4 linked regions of the Arabidopsis thaliana genome follow. The protein of the gene in region 1 interacts with the protein of each later gene in a pairwise test. Each region holds a gene or a part of one and is shown in the gene's direction. Other genes may lie near its edges.

Region 1 (4,964 bases):
AATTTGGTCCAACTATGTAGATTGAAAGTAATGACTTTGTGCTATATTGCTACATGTATAATATTAACATAACTAGCTAACTTTTTCACAATGGAAAACTTATAAGAACTTAAATCCAAAAAAAAAAAAAAATCGCTCGTTTTGCAGTTCTTATGAATGTGATTGAAATTTGGAAGTGGGTAAACTTATAACTTTAATAGTATTACAACAGTGAATGGAGAAGGACACTATTAGGGACAATGTTCCACATCGGAAGTTAAGTAGGATCTTAAGTGGTATATATAAGATAGCGGCCTCTCCACCTATTGCCAATTGGTTTTAGGTTGGAAGCCCACACTCTAATATGGTATCAGAGCCCGATCCGCACATACTCAACCCGATCCACATCGGTCCGGCCCAATACTTGGCCCGCCGATCCATGCCCAAACATATCGAGATCAATGGCTAGAAGAGCCATCATCTCGAGGGGGCGTATTAGGGACAATGTCCCACATCGGAAGTTAAGTAGGATCTTAAGTGGTATATATAAGATATGGGTCTCTCCACCTATTGCCAATTGGTTTTAGGTTGGAAGCCCACACTCTAGTAGACAGAAGAATATGATCAAACACTCTGATCAAAAGCAATGGTCTCCTACCTTCCAATCACTTATCTTCAAACCCATTGTTTTCTTTATATATTTTAAATATATTTTGATGTCGCTTTTAATTATTAACATGTCATGTTATAGATTAATTTCTAAAATATTCAATGGTTGGTGGTATACTGTTCTTTGTTGTCTTGCTGTATTATCTATCTACTCATGGATTTTCGTTTGATTCTTTTATGGAAAACCCAAGATGACAAGATCTTTTGCATGATCTTGTCTTGTGTCTTTATTTCAAACTAACTGAATATAGTTAGTTATATATTATTGTTATCAATAAGCTGGAGTAGCTCAGTTGGTTAGAGCGTGTGGCTGTTAACCACAAGGTCAGAGGTTCGACCCCTCTCTCTAGCGATGTTTTCTTCTTTTCAGTTTTTTTTTTTTTTGTACTGATACAATTACAATTTACAACACAAAATACAAACTATTAGACTACATGTCAATAATGTCATGATGCAAATTTTGCGGTCAAACTTTTTTTAATATAAGTTTTGTTACATGGATTCAATGTAGTTTGTTTGGGTTTTACTTTGTAAGTAAGTTTTATAGAAACAATCAATTTTCTGAATTTTAGTTTGGATTGAATTCAATTAATTTGACTATTCCAAATGTCAATATATGTTAAGGTCTCACTCATTGTTTATTTTTTCCTTGTAAAGCTCCTCTCATAAACTTGAAAGGGCAAAAAAGAAGAAGAAAAAAAAGAAAACATAACACACACAAAGAAGGGATAAAGAACCTCTAAATTTAGTGTTCATAAGGACATGCCCACATGGTGTGGGTTATGTCACTTAGACCCTACACCTTCTCCTCTCACCTTCTTTGCTCCCAACCTTTTCTTTTATCAATTTATGTCCCTCTCTCTCTTAGATACCGAATCTTTACTACTATTTTCCGCAATTTGTTCTTGAGCCTCTTTTTTCTCCTAGTCATAGTCAAGTGTCTCTAAACGATGGACCCGATTTATCCACCAACGCTAACGTTTAATCTATCTCACTGTCATTTGTGACTATCACATAGCTACAGTACGACCATTTTCGTAAACTTATCATAAAAGATCGGTCTCAAATCCGATACAAATGTTATGTTGAACATCTACGTAAAATAGAAAACTATTGTTATTGCTATATATTTTTTAAGGGATACGTATAAAAAAGTTGTGGCGTATAAAAAACGTGTGGTACCATTTTGAATTGGTAAGAGAGTATTTATTTCTAGAGAGGTAAGAGATAACAAATAAGTAAATGAAATTTCTACATTTATAAAGGAAAATAAAATAAAAACATAAGAAGTAGGGGACCTTATGTGTGTGGGTCAATGTTGTTTTCTATTTAAAGCTAAGAAGAATGATTTCAATGGATTAGTTTCTCCCAACTCTTTCATCTTTTTTAAGCAACCACCCAAAAACAATATTACATAACCTAAATCTCTACTTCTTCATACATTTATAGCAAATCCTCTTTTGCTTTAAACCCACCAAATAACTCAGAGCTTTTTTGCATTTTTTCCCATTCTCTATTTTGTTTTGTACTTTTGGTCTCACTTTAAAAGATCATAAGTTGAAAGATTTCTGCAGAGAACAATATGTTGGAAGGTCTTGTCTCTCAAGAAAGCTTGTCCTTAAACTCTATGGACATGTCTGTACTTGAAAGGCTTAAATGGGTACAACAGCAACAACAGCAACTGCAACAAGTTGTGTCCCATAGCAGTAATAATTCACCTGAACTTCTTCAGATACTTCAGTTCCATGGAAGCAACAATGATGAGTTGTTGGAGAGTAGTTTCAGCCAATTTCAAATGCTTGGATCTGGTTTTGGACCAAACTATAACATGGGTTTTGGTCCTCCACATGAATCCATTTCAAGAACAAGTAGCTGCCATATGGAACCTGTGGATACAATGGAGGTTTTGTTGAAGACCGGTGAAGAAACCAGAGCCGTTGCCTTGAAGAACAAGAGAAAACCAGAGGTTTGTAAGATCAAAATTTTGGATAAAAACTTTGTTTTGAGACATGGTTTTTGATATTTTTTATTAATAATGTCTTAGGTTAAGACAAGGGAAGAGCAAAAGACAGAGAAGAAGATCAAAGTAGAGGCTGAGACAGAGTCAAGCATGAAAGGAAAATCAAACATGGGAAACACTGAAGCATCTTCAGACACTTCAAAGGAGACATCGAAAGGAGCTTCAGAGAATCAGAAATTAGATTATATCCACGTGAGAGCTCGTCGAGGCCAAGCCACTGACAGACACAGCTTAGCAGAAAGGGTAATAAAAATAAATAAGTTTCTTGTGATACAAGAATCATGATATATCTAGGGTTTCTGAATGGATTTGGATTTGCAGGCGAGAAGAGAAAAGATCAGCAAGAAAATGAAATATCTGCAAGATATTGTGCCTGGATGCAATAAGGTCACAGGAAAAGCTGGTATGCTTGATGAGATCATCAATTATGTTCAATGTCTCCAAAGACAAGTCGAGGTAAGCAATGAAACCATGATTCTCTGTAACTTAACTTCACTATTAACCAAAGAGAATAAGTCTAATTCTTAAAGAGCCATACTTTGCAGTTCCTGTCGATGAAACTTGCTGTCTTGAACCCGGAACTAGAGCTTGCCGTGGAAGATGTATCCGTAAAACAGGTGAAAACACATTGTCTAGACCCTCAAAGTCATATTGATATTGCTCAACAAACTTAAGGGTTATGAAATTTTCAGTTTCAGGCTTACTTTACAAATGTAGTTGCTTCAAAGCAATCAATAATGGTTGATGTGCCATTGTTTCCGTTAGACCAGCAAGGATCTCTAGATTTGTCTGCGATAAACCCGAACCAAACGACATCTATCGAAGCTGTAAGTACAGCTTTATATGAAACTGAAAAACTTGTCAGAGTTTTTGTTCCTTGTCAGTGAAGTAACCTGTCTCTGTATCTCTCTATTTCAGCCATCTGGAAGCTGGGAAACTCAATCACAGAGTCTCTACAACACATCTAGCCTCGGTTTTCATTACTAAGCAAGATTCATTGAAACAACATGGTTGACATCAATCAATCATCAAAATCAGAAGCAAATTCTATTACATTTGCTCATCAAAGTAGTAATTTCGAAATTTGGTTAATGCATTATCCTTTGATCCTTGTTTTCTGATATTTAAACCAGAAGAACTGGAGATAGCAATCCAATGATCTTGTCACCATCAATCTTTGTGTATAGATTATATAGAGAGATAGATAAATATGTTTTAGAGGAGTTATAGATATATATCATATTTGTAGAAGAAAGAGAGAAAACTCTTGTGGTAATTACAATTCTTGTTTGTTTTTTTGGATATATAAATATCTAAGAAAATTATAAATCGTTTTCCTGTTTTTTTTTTCTGCAACGAATATCTAAGAAAACTCTTGTGGTAATTACAATAAAATATCTAAGATTCTATTGTCAACGAAATGTACCCATCAATATGTTCCCATTCGAAGGGTATGGGTATAGAGTTATTAGGTCGCCATGATTTTTTATAAATCGGTGGAAGAATACTTTTGATGATCAAAGTAAACGGTATCTAGGCAGCCAATTAATCAATGTCGATTTTATCTTCACATAAAATTTTATTCATTGAATACAAATTATTTTCTAGCTATTTAATTTATGTAAAATTAAATCGATCATAAGAAAAAAAACTAATAGCTTAAACAGATGTTGTCTTTAGTTATTTTGATACAAGATTGCATTGTATTCTTTAAAAATTCATAACCAACATCATGGCGTTGAATTTGGATGTTGAATCCGAATGATGACTCTCAATGCACATTTAGATGAAAAGAAAAGAAAAAAATTTCGTTTGGAAACAGCTCATCGACTATTCACAGATTCGGGAGAGGTTATTCATTTATTCTTCTATTTTCTTGCTAAAGATTAACCATATATTCGAGTAGGATTCTTGTAAAAAGCAAACATCATCAAATGTGAAGTATGTGTCAAATAAAATTTTGTCAAATAAAACATCATCGAGTAGGATTCTTCTATTTCTATTTTTTTTTTGGATATTAGTTAGTGTCAAATAAATTTTTGTTAATTTAAAAACTACACTAGTAAACATTTTTATAACAAATAAGAAAATTGGATTCTCGAGTGATGGCAAATTCATGAATTCTTTATGAAATTGGTGAACATATATAAAATCGGACGTTGTTTTAAATTTGTTTCATTTTTAATTCAAAGAATGATATTTTAGACGTTTGATCATTGTTGTCTTGTTGATGCTACGATTGCATTCAAACTCTAGTTTTCATTACATTCAAAATATATCTAATTTTGCATTCGGA
Region 2 (3,749 bases), 4.4 Mb from region 1:
TTCCAAAAAATCACAATTATAGTTTGTTCTTAGTTTATAGGATAAAAATACTTCTCAGTTTGGATTTAAATAGTGTATATATATTCTAAATTAGCAACTTTTAAACACTAAGTCAAACAGATATTCCCTCTGTTCCTTTTTGTTTGATTGTTTAGAAAAAAAAATTTGTTTCTAAAAGATTGATTTTTTAAGTTTTCCATGTAATATTATTGGTTAATATTAGTGAATTGTAATTTTCAAAAAAAATAGTTAATTATTATTGGTTTAGAGTTATAGAAAACTGTAAAACACTAAAAATAATACATTTATAATCAACATTTAATATATTTTTTTAATATGTGTGTTTTTTCTAAACAATTAAACAAAAAAGAACTAGATGGAGTATAATTTAAACAAGCTGGTTGTTGAATGATATAATTGAAGATTTTGTTTTATTATCACTAAAAGTATTGTTCCGCACATTCATAAGACTTTAAACCAAAAATAAATCAATAAAATCAGCCACATGACCACCATGTTGGTTAATATATATTGAAAAAACAAGGCGTCGAGCCACTTACACTTATATAAAATTGTATATGACTTCCATGTCCGTTGATAAAATAAATAAAACTTGCTTGTCCAATTTCTATTTCATAGAGTGAAAAGTTTTGGTAGTTGGTACTATAGGACATCCTTATTGTAGGGACCGACCATAAAAACTTTACATAGAGAGATCTAAAGAAAAAATATTTAATGCATATGGTTTGTCATTATGTCTACATACATTTGTGAATGGTATATATAAACCAGTATTTTAATTATTTTCTCTTTGGTTTTAGGCATGGTTTAACCATCTTCATGTATTATTTTTTTTGAATCAATGAGAATGAGCTTATGTAATATTTTACTTCTTAATTTTGAGAAAATTTAATTAAAATTTGCATTAGTTATAATATGGAACATATCTAAATTTGGATATGTAAACCCATTAAAGTATGAACACAGAAAATTCGTTTCGATTCACTAAGAATTAAATCAACACCTAAAACATACGAGATAACACGTAACGTAATTTTCATGCGTGATGTTGAATGAAGATAATCTATATCTTCACGAGGAAACACAAAAAGAAAAGTTGGAAAAAATAGCGTTTGAGATGCATGCGTGAGAGTGTGCGAGTGGGGAACTGGGGATAAAGAGAAAGGTTAGATAATAGTAAAACACTCTAGAGCGTCTGACTCACGACTATTTTTCTGCTCGTCGTTTGGTTTGGTATGCGATGACGTTTGTGTGACTCAATCGCAACTTGCCGTACCAAAAGTCTTGCCGTACTTCCTCTTCAATTACTAAAATACCCATTTCCTAATATAATCTTATCTTTAAACAATTGTAAACTACCAAAGATTTCTAGACTTTAATTTCGGTCCATAGTTTTTATCGACCAAGAATCAAAATCATAGTTGTTTTAAGCCACGGTTCTGAGCAAGTAGGTTAATCCTCTTTGCCGGTACAACTCGAAGATGGGACATGGTCGTTGTTTCTCTAAGAAAGATCGACTAGTACAACTACTAACACCATGTGTTATCTCTTTAATTTCTTAGTTTAGTTACCACCATATATTTATTAACTCCACTTTGAAATATTAAATCATAGTTACTTGTTGACAATTTTTATTTTTTTATATTAATTATGTTGATAGTTAGATGATAACAATATTTGTGTTGTGGCAAACGCAGTTGTATTACCAATAAGACAATAACAATGGTTGGTACCAAAACAGCATCACAAATTTAGCAATAACCTTTGAATCAATCAATTGGGGTTTTGCTATGTTTAATGAGTTTAAAATACTTAAATACATAACTAATTGATAATAACTGTAACAACAAAAAAAGAACCAATTGATAATAAACGAAATATAATAATTTATGTCTCCTACATATATTGTTGTAGATATCTTTTAACTTTCATTTAGGAGATTTCATAAAAACTTACTTTTTCAGTTGTTAACTTTTTTTTTTTTTTTTTTTGTTGTTAAAAAACTTCTTTATACTAATTAGTTAGGATGGTTGATAAACATTGAATTCGAATATGTGTTTGTTCCCTGCATTATCGGTTGAGCTGATGTTGTACTCATTTAGCCAAAACACTAATTAAAAATCCATCATCTAGTGTATGGTTATAGAAGTTTTATCTTAATTAAGTGCACTAACTCATGTCCTTATAGATTCTGTTTACATGTCTGTCTCGTTTCTAATCGGTTAAACATGATGATTAATAAGCAATCAAAGGAATAGTCAGTTTTTGTTTTATTTTTTGCTATTTTGTATATAATAACACGAAACTATTATTGAACGTGGAAGGTCAACGAAAAGGTGTTTATTCAGCAAGAGGAAAGGGTAAAACTAGAATTTCAGCTCTCCGTCTCACAACTAAAGTCAATGCAAAAAAGCTAAGCTAAGTTTTCGCTTATATAAACACGATCAAAACTCATTATTCAACAAAGTCTTCGTTTCATTTTTCATTTTTCATTTCTCAACCAAAAAAAAAAAGAGTGATTTTTTTTTTAATCATCAGTCAAATGGAAAGGGGAAGATCAGATATGGAGATGATAAACAACATGGCAAATTGCTTGATTCTTCTATCAAAGGCCCATCAAAACGACACCAAAAGCCGTGTTTTCGCGTGCAAGACATGCAACAAAGAGTTCCCGTCGTTCCAAGCCTTGGGAGGTCACCGAGCCAGCCACCGGCGATCCGCAGCGCTTGAAGGCCACGCACCTCCTTCTCCTAAGAGAGTCAAACCGGTGAAACACGAGTGTCCCATATGTGGTGCTGAGTTCGCGGTAGGGCAGGCCTTAGGTGGTCACATGAGGAAGCATAGAGGTGGATCAGGAGGAGGAGGTGGCCGGAGTTTGGCGCCGGCTACAGCGCCGGTGACGATGAAGAAATCAGGCGGTGGTAATGGAAAAAGAGTTTTGTGTTTGGACTTGAACTTGACGCCTTTAGAGAACGAAGATTTGAAGTTGGAGCTTGGGAGGTTTATTTTCTGATTTTTGTTCGTTTTTCTTTTTAGGGTATACTTGTGTAGGGTAAGTTTATTTTTTCTGATAATTTCTATTTTTGTAGACTTTCAGTATTTTTTGTATAACAACTTTACGGTATATACCGTTATGTATAGATACAGATATATACATCTTATATTGTTCGAGTTATTATGTATATATATATATATAAAGTCTGTTTCAGTAATAATCATTTTGTTGAATTCTTTTAGCGTCGCATTGATTACGTAGACATATATAATTTGAATTCTGAAAACATTAGTTTTGAACTTGGATGATACCACAAACAAATCATACACGTTAGGTTCAGATTCTTAGTTTCAGTTTTTTTGTATTAGAATCATGTTCCAGAGTTATTGGTTCTATAAACTAATCGGACATCTTTGTCTATAAGTAGGGGTATAAGACCTCTTCGTTTTACTATTTGTCTATAATTAGACATCTAGTTTTTTGTCATTAACTTGCTAAAACTTTTGGTAACGAAAAAAAGAAGAAAGTCATTAACTAGAAATTTCGAGATTTCTTTTCGTTGTAGACGTTTTGTTAAAAAAACTAATTAGTATTCAAAATTTATATTGAAAGAAACAAAATTTCCACACAAAAAAAAAAACAGTTGAAATGAGTCGTTGATGATAAACATTTATGTGTACGAAAGACATGATAAGAATAAGCAAGTAATGGTAGTTTAGTTTTTTTTAATCAT
Region 3 (3,730 bases), on another chromosome or scaffold:
GTCTAGATTGTGATCTCTTGAATGACAATGGTATTGAAGAACTAAACCGGGACCAAGCTCGTTTCTAATTAGAACTTTATTTTTTGGACATGGGAACATGTCAAATGCTACATTCAATCCAAAATATGTTACAACAACAAACATAAAAATTATAAAACGATTCATTTAAGAGTAATTTGAGACTCCAGTTTGAATTTGATGACATCAATAATGCATTATATATAGTTATTAGTGTGTTAGTATTTTCTTATGGCCTTAACTAAAATTAGTTAAATTGAAACACAAACATGAATTATTAATATATAGGTATTGCCGAAAAAAGTATGGTTGACCAATCCCAATGGATTCAACCTTACAAATCATAGGTGATCCACAAACATCTAACTAAAACCAAAATATTTAAGATATAACAAAAAAATCTTGCAAGTGTACTATTTTAACAGGACAAGTGTATCTTGTAATACGGAAGATTTCGAAAATTTGAACTCCCGATTTCAACATAACAAAATAACATCTGTCCTCGGGCCTATACAGGCCCAGTAAGTCTAACGATAAATGAGCCTTAATGGACTAGATTTAAAACTTTATAAAGGGGCCAAGGCGTTCACAAACCCAACAGTAGGTACAGAAGGCTCCTGGTAATAACTGAAAAGCAACGCAACCACATAGCAAAGACAAGTTACTTGATCCAAGAGAGCTGTTTCCTTTGTGTGATGTTGTTCGATTTTGACCTCAGTGTTTATGAATTCCTGAGTAAGATCTAGTCTTTAACTTCCCCACCTTGGATACTGTATTCACGAATGAGCATGTTTTTGTTCCTTGGGAGATTCCATAATTGGTCTGATGCATATAGACATGTGTTTTTTTTTTTTGGTGTCATATGTGCGCTGTGAATCTTGTGATATTTTAGAATCTAAAAAATATACACGCACAAGAAAAGCTTACGACCACATATATCAATGGGTTCCAGTTTAAAAATTTGGTGAGTATTATTAAGAGAGTCGGAGAAGAAATATTTGAGCGTGGTTAAAATATTAAGAAAAGGAAGAGACATGGAGACGATGTCTCAATTAAGGGGGCAAGCCTCTCTGGCCAATTACAGAGAAAAGGGCCCTTTTAGATTCTCTTCAAGATCTTCTTTTTTTTTTTCTTGTTTTTTTTGGTATAAATCACACATTTACTACAAAAATGCACTTATAATATTTAGTGTCAACTCATAATTGCTAAAACATTTCTCTCGTGTTTTCCATAGCAAGGTGCCAAAAACGAATTGATCAAGAAAAGTAAATGTTTTACATTAGTTACTATAGAATTTAGATCATGGTTTGTTTAAGATTTAGAACTTGGTGTAGGAACTAATAATTCCCTCGTGATATATGACAAATTGACAATGACATTCACCGTTACGAAGGATCGAATTTTGTCAAGAAAAAATATTTTCTAAACTATGGTATGAAGACAATATACATATACTACTCATTACTCTTGAATTTTATTTTTGTTTTTCCTTTGTAGACTACTCATTACTCTTTAGATTGAGATATCAATTAGAAACATACAAATCACACACAAAATAGTGGGAAACGGCAAAGGAGAGAATTTGTTGGCGGAAAATTGTCCACAACATTACAAATGAGTAAAGGTCACACAAAAGAGATCCTTTTTTCTCATATGGCAGCGCCATGAAAATGGTCACATGGAATGCTTTTTTGGTAAATTTTCTTTTCTCTTTTGCTTATTTCACTCTCTGAGTGCTTTTTTCCCTTTCTCTGCTTACCTTTAAAATAAAATAAAACCACATGAATTCTACCGCAACCACTTGAAACAAAAGATTCAACATCACCCTTTATTTCTCAACTTATCAAAAATATATATATCAATCGTCTATATTCTTTGACCTTTGGAGTTACAATGTATAAACATAGAAAATATATTTGCATCGCTCAGCATTTTGACTATTAAAGGGCATAATTTTGGAGCTTCATGCCAAGGCAAAAAGATAAAGAACAATCACATGAATGACAAAAGATTAAAAACAAAAGATTTTTAACTAATGAAAAAAAACACAAAAAACAAATACCGGTAAATAAGGGCAAAAGTGGAATTAAGTGTTATAGCTCCGCTGGCGATTGGCAGAGATATAAAAACTGATCTCTCTCCATTCATCTTCTCTTGTTTCTAACTAGTCACATTGAGAGAGAGAGAGAGAGAAAGAGAGACTCTCAGAATCTGAAGAAGAAGAAGAGATTGTTGTTTTTGCCTTTTATCATCGGTTTCTTTGAATCTCTGGTTTTAAATCGGATTTAATGGTGGAGTCTCTGTTCCCGAGCATCGAAAACACAGGTGAATCGTCTCGAAGAAAGAAGCCGAGGATATCAGAGACGGCGGAGGCGGAGATAGAGGCACGACGTGTCAACGAAGAAAGCTTGAAGAGATGGAAAACGAATCGTGTGCAACAGATCTACGCTTGTAAGCTCGTCGAAGCTTTACGCCGAGTTCGTCAGAGATCTTCCACCACCAGCAACAACGAGACCGATAAACTCGTCTCCGGCGCGGCGAGGGAGATACGTGATACGGCGGATCGAGTTCTAGCTGCGTCCGCTCGTGGTACGACTCGGTGGAGCAGAGCGATTTTAGCGAGTCGCGTCCGAGCGAAGCTGAAGAAACATAGAAAGGCGAAAAAGTCAACGGGAAATTGTAAATCGAGAAAAGGTCTCACGGAGACGAATCGGATTAAGTTACCGGCGGTTGAGAGAAAACTGAAGATTCTTGGCCGTTTGGTTCCTGGTTGCCGGAAAGTCTCTGTACCGAATCTTTTAGATGAAGCGACCGATTACATCGCAGCGTTAGAGATGCAGGTTCGAGCCATGGAGGCTCTCGCCGAACTTTTAACCGCAGCCGCACCACGGACGACGTTGACCGGAACTTAACGGCGGCAGTTAGTTTGTCAGTTGTTAATTAGCTTTTCTTTTACCTTTTTACCCCTTTATTTTGGCTTCAAGTGTTTTTTTTTTCTCGTCGACGCGATTTTAATTTATTAAATTCATGTATTTTATTTGTATACATCATCACTTCTTTTTTTTTGTATCCATTTTGATCTTTCTTTGTTTTTTCGTTAGATAATCAAAGTTATCTAAACAATAACAACAACAAAATGCCAACTAATGTCGATTCCAAAAATTGTTTAACGCTTTAAAAAAAAATTAGACCTACAAATTAAAGAAACTAAAAAGTAAGGAGAAGAACAAATAATTTGCAAGTTGAAGCAATTCAAAAATGAGCATGTGCGTGTAACGTGTTGAGGACACCCACCTTAATTTTGGGGCCAATGGACTCCATGTGATTCTCAAAGACTTTTTCCGACGTTGAAGTTTATGTCGAAAAGTGTATTTTTTGCTCAAAATGCCCTCAAAATCTTTCAAACTGATTAGAAAAAAACATTTACTTGAATGTCAACATTAATTATGATAACAAGGAGTAGCATACGACTCTTCAAGAGAACTGACATTATGAAAAATTGATGATTATGGTATAAAATACAAGTTAGTAAAAGTTAGTTGTCAGAAGAAATCCACTAGGAATAACATTGAAAGAAGTGGTGAGCAAAAAGGACCACAAAAATGGAACCAAAAGAAGAGGAAACAATAAGATTGAGAAATGAGTCTCTTGGAACATCTTTTTTCCCTCTTTAAGACTCCCCACGTGTGCTCTTTCTTTTAACACCCAATAT
Region 4 (3,593 bases), on another chromosome or scaffold:
GCTTACACCTTTTTAATTCAGTTTAACTATTTCTTTTTAAAAAACTTATATAAAGAAGAGAAAACAAAATTTAAGAACAGCACAAACAAGTCATAACATGCCATCTACAATATTCGATAGAAATCTCCACAGACCTTGTACAATTCATTCTGACAGTTTTGTACGATTTCTTTGTGGTTCATACTGCAGACAAAATAGTTCTATACTATTTTAATATTATTGGCATTAGTTGGTTGTATTCATTATTGTTCCTTTATATATCTTTTTACGTAAAGATACTGTTGAATAATTACGAATCTGGTTTTACCTAGCTTGATTGTGTGATTGGAAAGAGTTACATTTAATTCGGTCATTTTTTCAACGTGGATTGTCAAAGGTGGAAAACCATTAAGCAAAATTCCAAGAAACTTTTATGATTATATGCATTATTGTTCAATGTCTACTATAGGTGTGAATGTCTAGTATCTATTTTGGTATCCACATCTATTAGTTTGCATCTCAATTTCTTTCTCCTCTTAGATTATATATATATATATATATATATCCAATATATATATATATATTATTTCGTTTGTTTTTAACTAGAAAATTCCTCTACCTTTATGTACTTTTATCTACTTGTATTTAGTAAAGTTTATAGATTAATTAATTTCATCTAGATGGGTTACCATTAACACATGTTTTCCACATTCAATCAAAGGTTATGGGATTGCATTAAAATATAATACGAGAAAACATCACATTCTAACAAAAAAAAAGATTATTTACAAAAGAGAAATAAAATTTCCTTGCTGCATTGATTGATAATCTACTAACCCTTGACTTTTTTTGTGTGGTAGGATAAAGAACACAACAAAACCAATAAGAGATCATTCAGTTTTGGCTATTAACAACAAAAGCTAGTAACGTGTATATTGCATGTATCAAACACTATAAGATTAAGAGACAACTTGTAATGTCTCAACCGCCCATGTTTAGTAGTTATAGATATTGTTTGGACATTTTATTGTTATTATTATTATTATTATTATTATATATATATATATATATATATATCTAAATGATTCGGTATATATTTTAAAAAATAAAAATAAAATAACAAATGAGTAACACCCAGACTTTCATATCATATCAAAGGTGACCTTTTGTGTCAACATAAACTATATTTATCTATTTACAAATCCTATAGGAAAAATTAAAGTCATCTTTAAACCTGGAATGCAATGATGCTTAGAATCAAAAAATCACGACTAAAAGTCCTTGACAAATAAAACGTATTAATAACCCAATTACTGACCACATGCATCTTAACTTTATGTTAATATGCGTAGTAAAGAAACTTGTATCTACGTCATATTAGTTACAGTGGCAGTAAAATTCAGTTTCAAAGATGTTTGTCTTGATATGTTGTACAGATCACCAATTGAACTACCACTAATAATAACTAAATTTCTGTTTAGCAAGTTACCATCTGTATCCAAATATCGCAAAAGTAGTGGGTAGTGAAACCCAAATTCATCACACATGCAGCATAAAAAAAAAGAAGGTCAAATGGTATATATAATATGAGGGAGATCTATATTAAGATAATATGGGTAGAAATGACATAGATTGATCAAACTAATTAGGAGATTGGTCCAAGGACACATACACATGCATACATGTATTATGTATATACAAAGTGTGTGAGTGAGTGAGTGAGAGAGAGAGAGGTTAAGAGGAAGGAACATGTGAAAGCATTAAGAGAAGGTGGGGTTTTGTATTGATGTCTTGTTCTTGGAATGGAGCCACATGGTAAAAGGGTCTCTCAAAGCACCTCTTTAGGGGTAGTTGTGATGCAGCCAAATTAGAGCTCTTGCATGTGACTCCATGTGTTTTTTCTTCCCTCACCCATTATTATTCCCAAATTCTTCTTTTCTTATTTTTCTCTCTTTATTTATGTATATATATATATATATATATATATATACACACTCTCTTTTTGTTTTCGTGTATTTTCTAAAAATAAATGTATTATACAAAAAAACATATATTAGTTGATGATATTCAAATTCCGTTGTTTTTAAAATATTTGTCTAAAAAAGAAAACTACTAACTACGACTTTCAAATAGTCTTGTGTTTTGTACGTGAACGAAAAATAATAACACTCCCAAACATATTACCTCATATATGTATACAAAGAAAATTAAGTTCTACAACTTTACTTTATACATCATCAACGCTTGTTATATACAAACAAACGTAGGACACCGCTCTTCTCTTTCTTTGTCTCTCTCATATTCTAAGTTTGCTATATATGTAACTTTCTCCCTTGTAGACTTTCATTTGCAGCAAAAATAGTTTCTCATATGGAGAGGCAAATCATAAACAGGAAGAAACGAGTGTTTTCTCTTGAACCAAACAAGAACCCTAGTGCAGTTTTCACGAGAAAATACACAAGCCACTTGGTTCCTGCACTCAAGAAGCTCAACATGAACAAGAACTCTTCAAAACAAACCGTGAAGCATGAAGTAGATATGGCTTTGGCTTTGTCTGCTCAAGAATTTGCATGGAGCCGTTTCTTGCTGCAGAAGCTATCGTCCTCATCGAATCCAACCACTACCACTAGTTCTTCTTCCGATGGAATTCGGATTCTTGAAAGACCCGATAAAGAAGGCGGAAACGAAGAAGGAGGGATAGAGGAGAGACTGAGGGAATTGAAGAAGCTTTTGCCAGGTGGGGAAGAGATGAATGTGGAAGAAATGTTGAGTGAGATTGGTAACTACATTAAATGTCTTGAGTTGCAGACGATTGCTCTCAAGTCCATTGTTCAAGATAGTACTTGACTTTTAGTTTAAGTGTATAATTTATAGTTTGTTTCATGTTTTTTTTGTTGTCTTTAAACGAAAATCATCTGTGTTTTTTTTTTTCTCTTGATTTCTTTAAGAACAAGAGCATGTATTATAGTGTTTTTCTTTTTTCCTTTTCTTAATTAATCATGGTTACCGAAATACCTAAAGTACCACACATGGCCGTTTATACGTACATCTTATAAAATTCGATCAAAATCTGATTGAAATTTAAATTATTGGTTGTAATGCCAAATAGACGATGTGCTGCCTAAAATAAAACTCTTATGTTGTCTTTTTTTCCTGAATTTATTATTTTAATGTTATGAGCAAATCTCCAAACTTTAATATTCTAATCATTTTAACCTGACAAACTTTGTGTTTGTGTATATATTTATATTCCTGCAAGTTTTTTTTCTCCTTTAGCGAAAACATATGAACTTTCGACTACAAAAAATCAGATGTAACAAATCTTCAATTAAATAAAAGCTACACATTAGTAGAGATCACCAATATGTTCCAGCTGCAGTAACTACAGGTGCACCATTAAAATGTAAACAAAAATTAGGACTACTGGACTAGAATTACTTTCCAAAAAATTCGATGAATATGAAAAACAAAACGCCGAAATTGTAAATATCTAAAAAGGAGGAAAGTTGGATGACATATGTGTAAACTATGAAAGTCATAACATTGATTTGAAGTCATCATCCATATCTTTGCACGTGTCTCACAGTCACTCGCACGCATCCAAATCTCTCTAT

The links.
Region 2: the proteins of HBI1 (region 1) and AT2G28710 interact in a two-hybrid assay, tested with the Arabidopsis thaliana proteins (one large-scale study listed by BioGRID).
Region 3: the proteins of HBI1 (region 1) and AT1G09250 interact in a two-hybrid assay, tested with the Arabidopsis thaliana proteins (one large-scale study listed by BioGRID).
Region 4: the proteins of HBI1 (region 1) and AT4G30180 interact in a two-hybrid assay, tested with the Arabidopsis thaliana proteins (one large-scale study listed by BioGRID).

What each region holds. Positions count from the first base shown.
Region 1 is NC_003071.7:7,951,713-7,956,676, reverse strand, and holds HBI1 (basic helix-loop-helix (bHLH) DNA-binding superfamily protein), read left to right. Parts: upstream 1-1,937; 5' UTR 1,938-2,230; coding exon 2,231-2,614; intron 2,615-2,692; coding exon 2,693-2,911; intron 2,912-2,989; coding exon 2,990-3,124; intron 3,125-3,213; coding exon 3,214-3,285; intron 3,286-3,360; coding exon 3,361-3,495; intron 3,496-3,586; coding exon 3,587-3,641; coding exon of another isoform or gene 3,642-3,655; exon of another isoform or gene 3,656-4,036; coding exon 4,037-4,131; 3' UTR 4,132-4,273; downstream 4,274-4,964. Other genes in the region: AT2G18320 (F-box associated ubiquitination effector family protein), read right to left, coding at 14-49, 368-457. UniProt on the Arabidopsis thaliana protein: Atypical bHLH transcription factor that acts as a positive regulator of cell elongation downstream of multiple external and endogenous signals by direct binding to the promoters and activation of the two expansin genes EXPA1 and EXPA8, encoding cell wall loosening enzymes.
Region 2 is NC_003071.7:12,320,411-12,324,159, forward strand, and holds AT2G28710 (C2H2-type zinc finger family protein), read left to right. Parts: upstream 1-1,975; 5' UTR 1,976-2,015; intron 2,016-2,537; 5' UTR 2,538-2,563; coding exon 2,564-3,034; 3' UTR 3,035-3,174; downstream 3,175-3,749.
Region 3 is NC_003070.9:2,987,203-2,990,932, forward strand, and holds AT1G09250 (basic helix-loop-helix (bHLH) DNA-binding superfamily protein), read left to right. Parts: upstream 1-1,938; 5' UTR 1,939-2,306; coding exon 2,307-2,930; 3' UTR 2,931-3,225; downstream 3,226-3,730. Other genes in the region: AT1G09245 (Plant self-incompatibility protein S1 family), read right to left, coding at 1-165. UniProt on the Arabidopsis thaliana protein: Atypical bHLH transcription factor probably unable to bind DNA. Negatively regulates brassinosteroid signaling.
Region 4 is NC_003075.7:14,766,679-14,770,271, forward strand, and holds AT4G30180 (uncharacterized protein), read left to right. Parts: upstream 1-2,105; 5' UTR 2,106-2,349; coding exon 2,350-2,826; 3' UTR 2,827-3,093; downstream 3,094-3,593.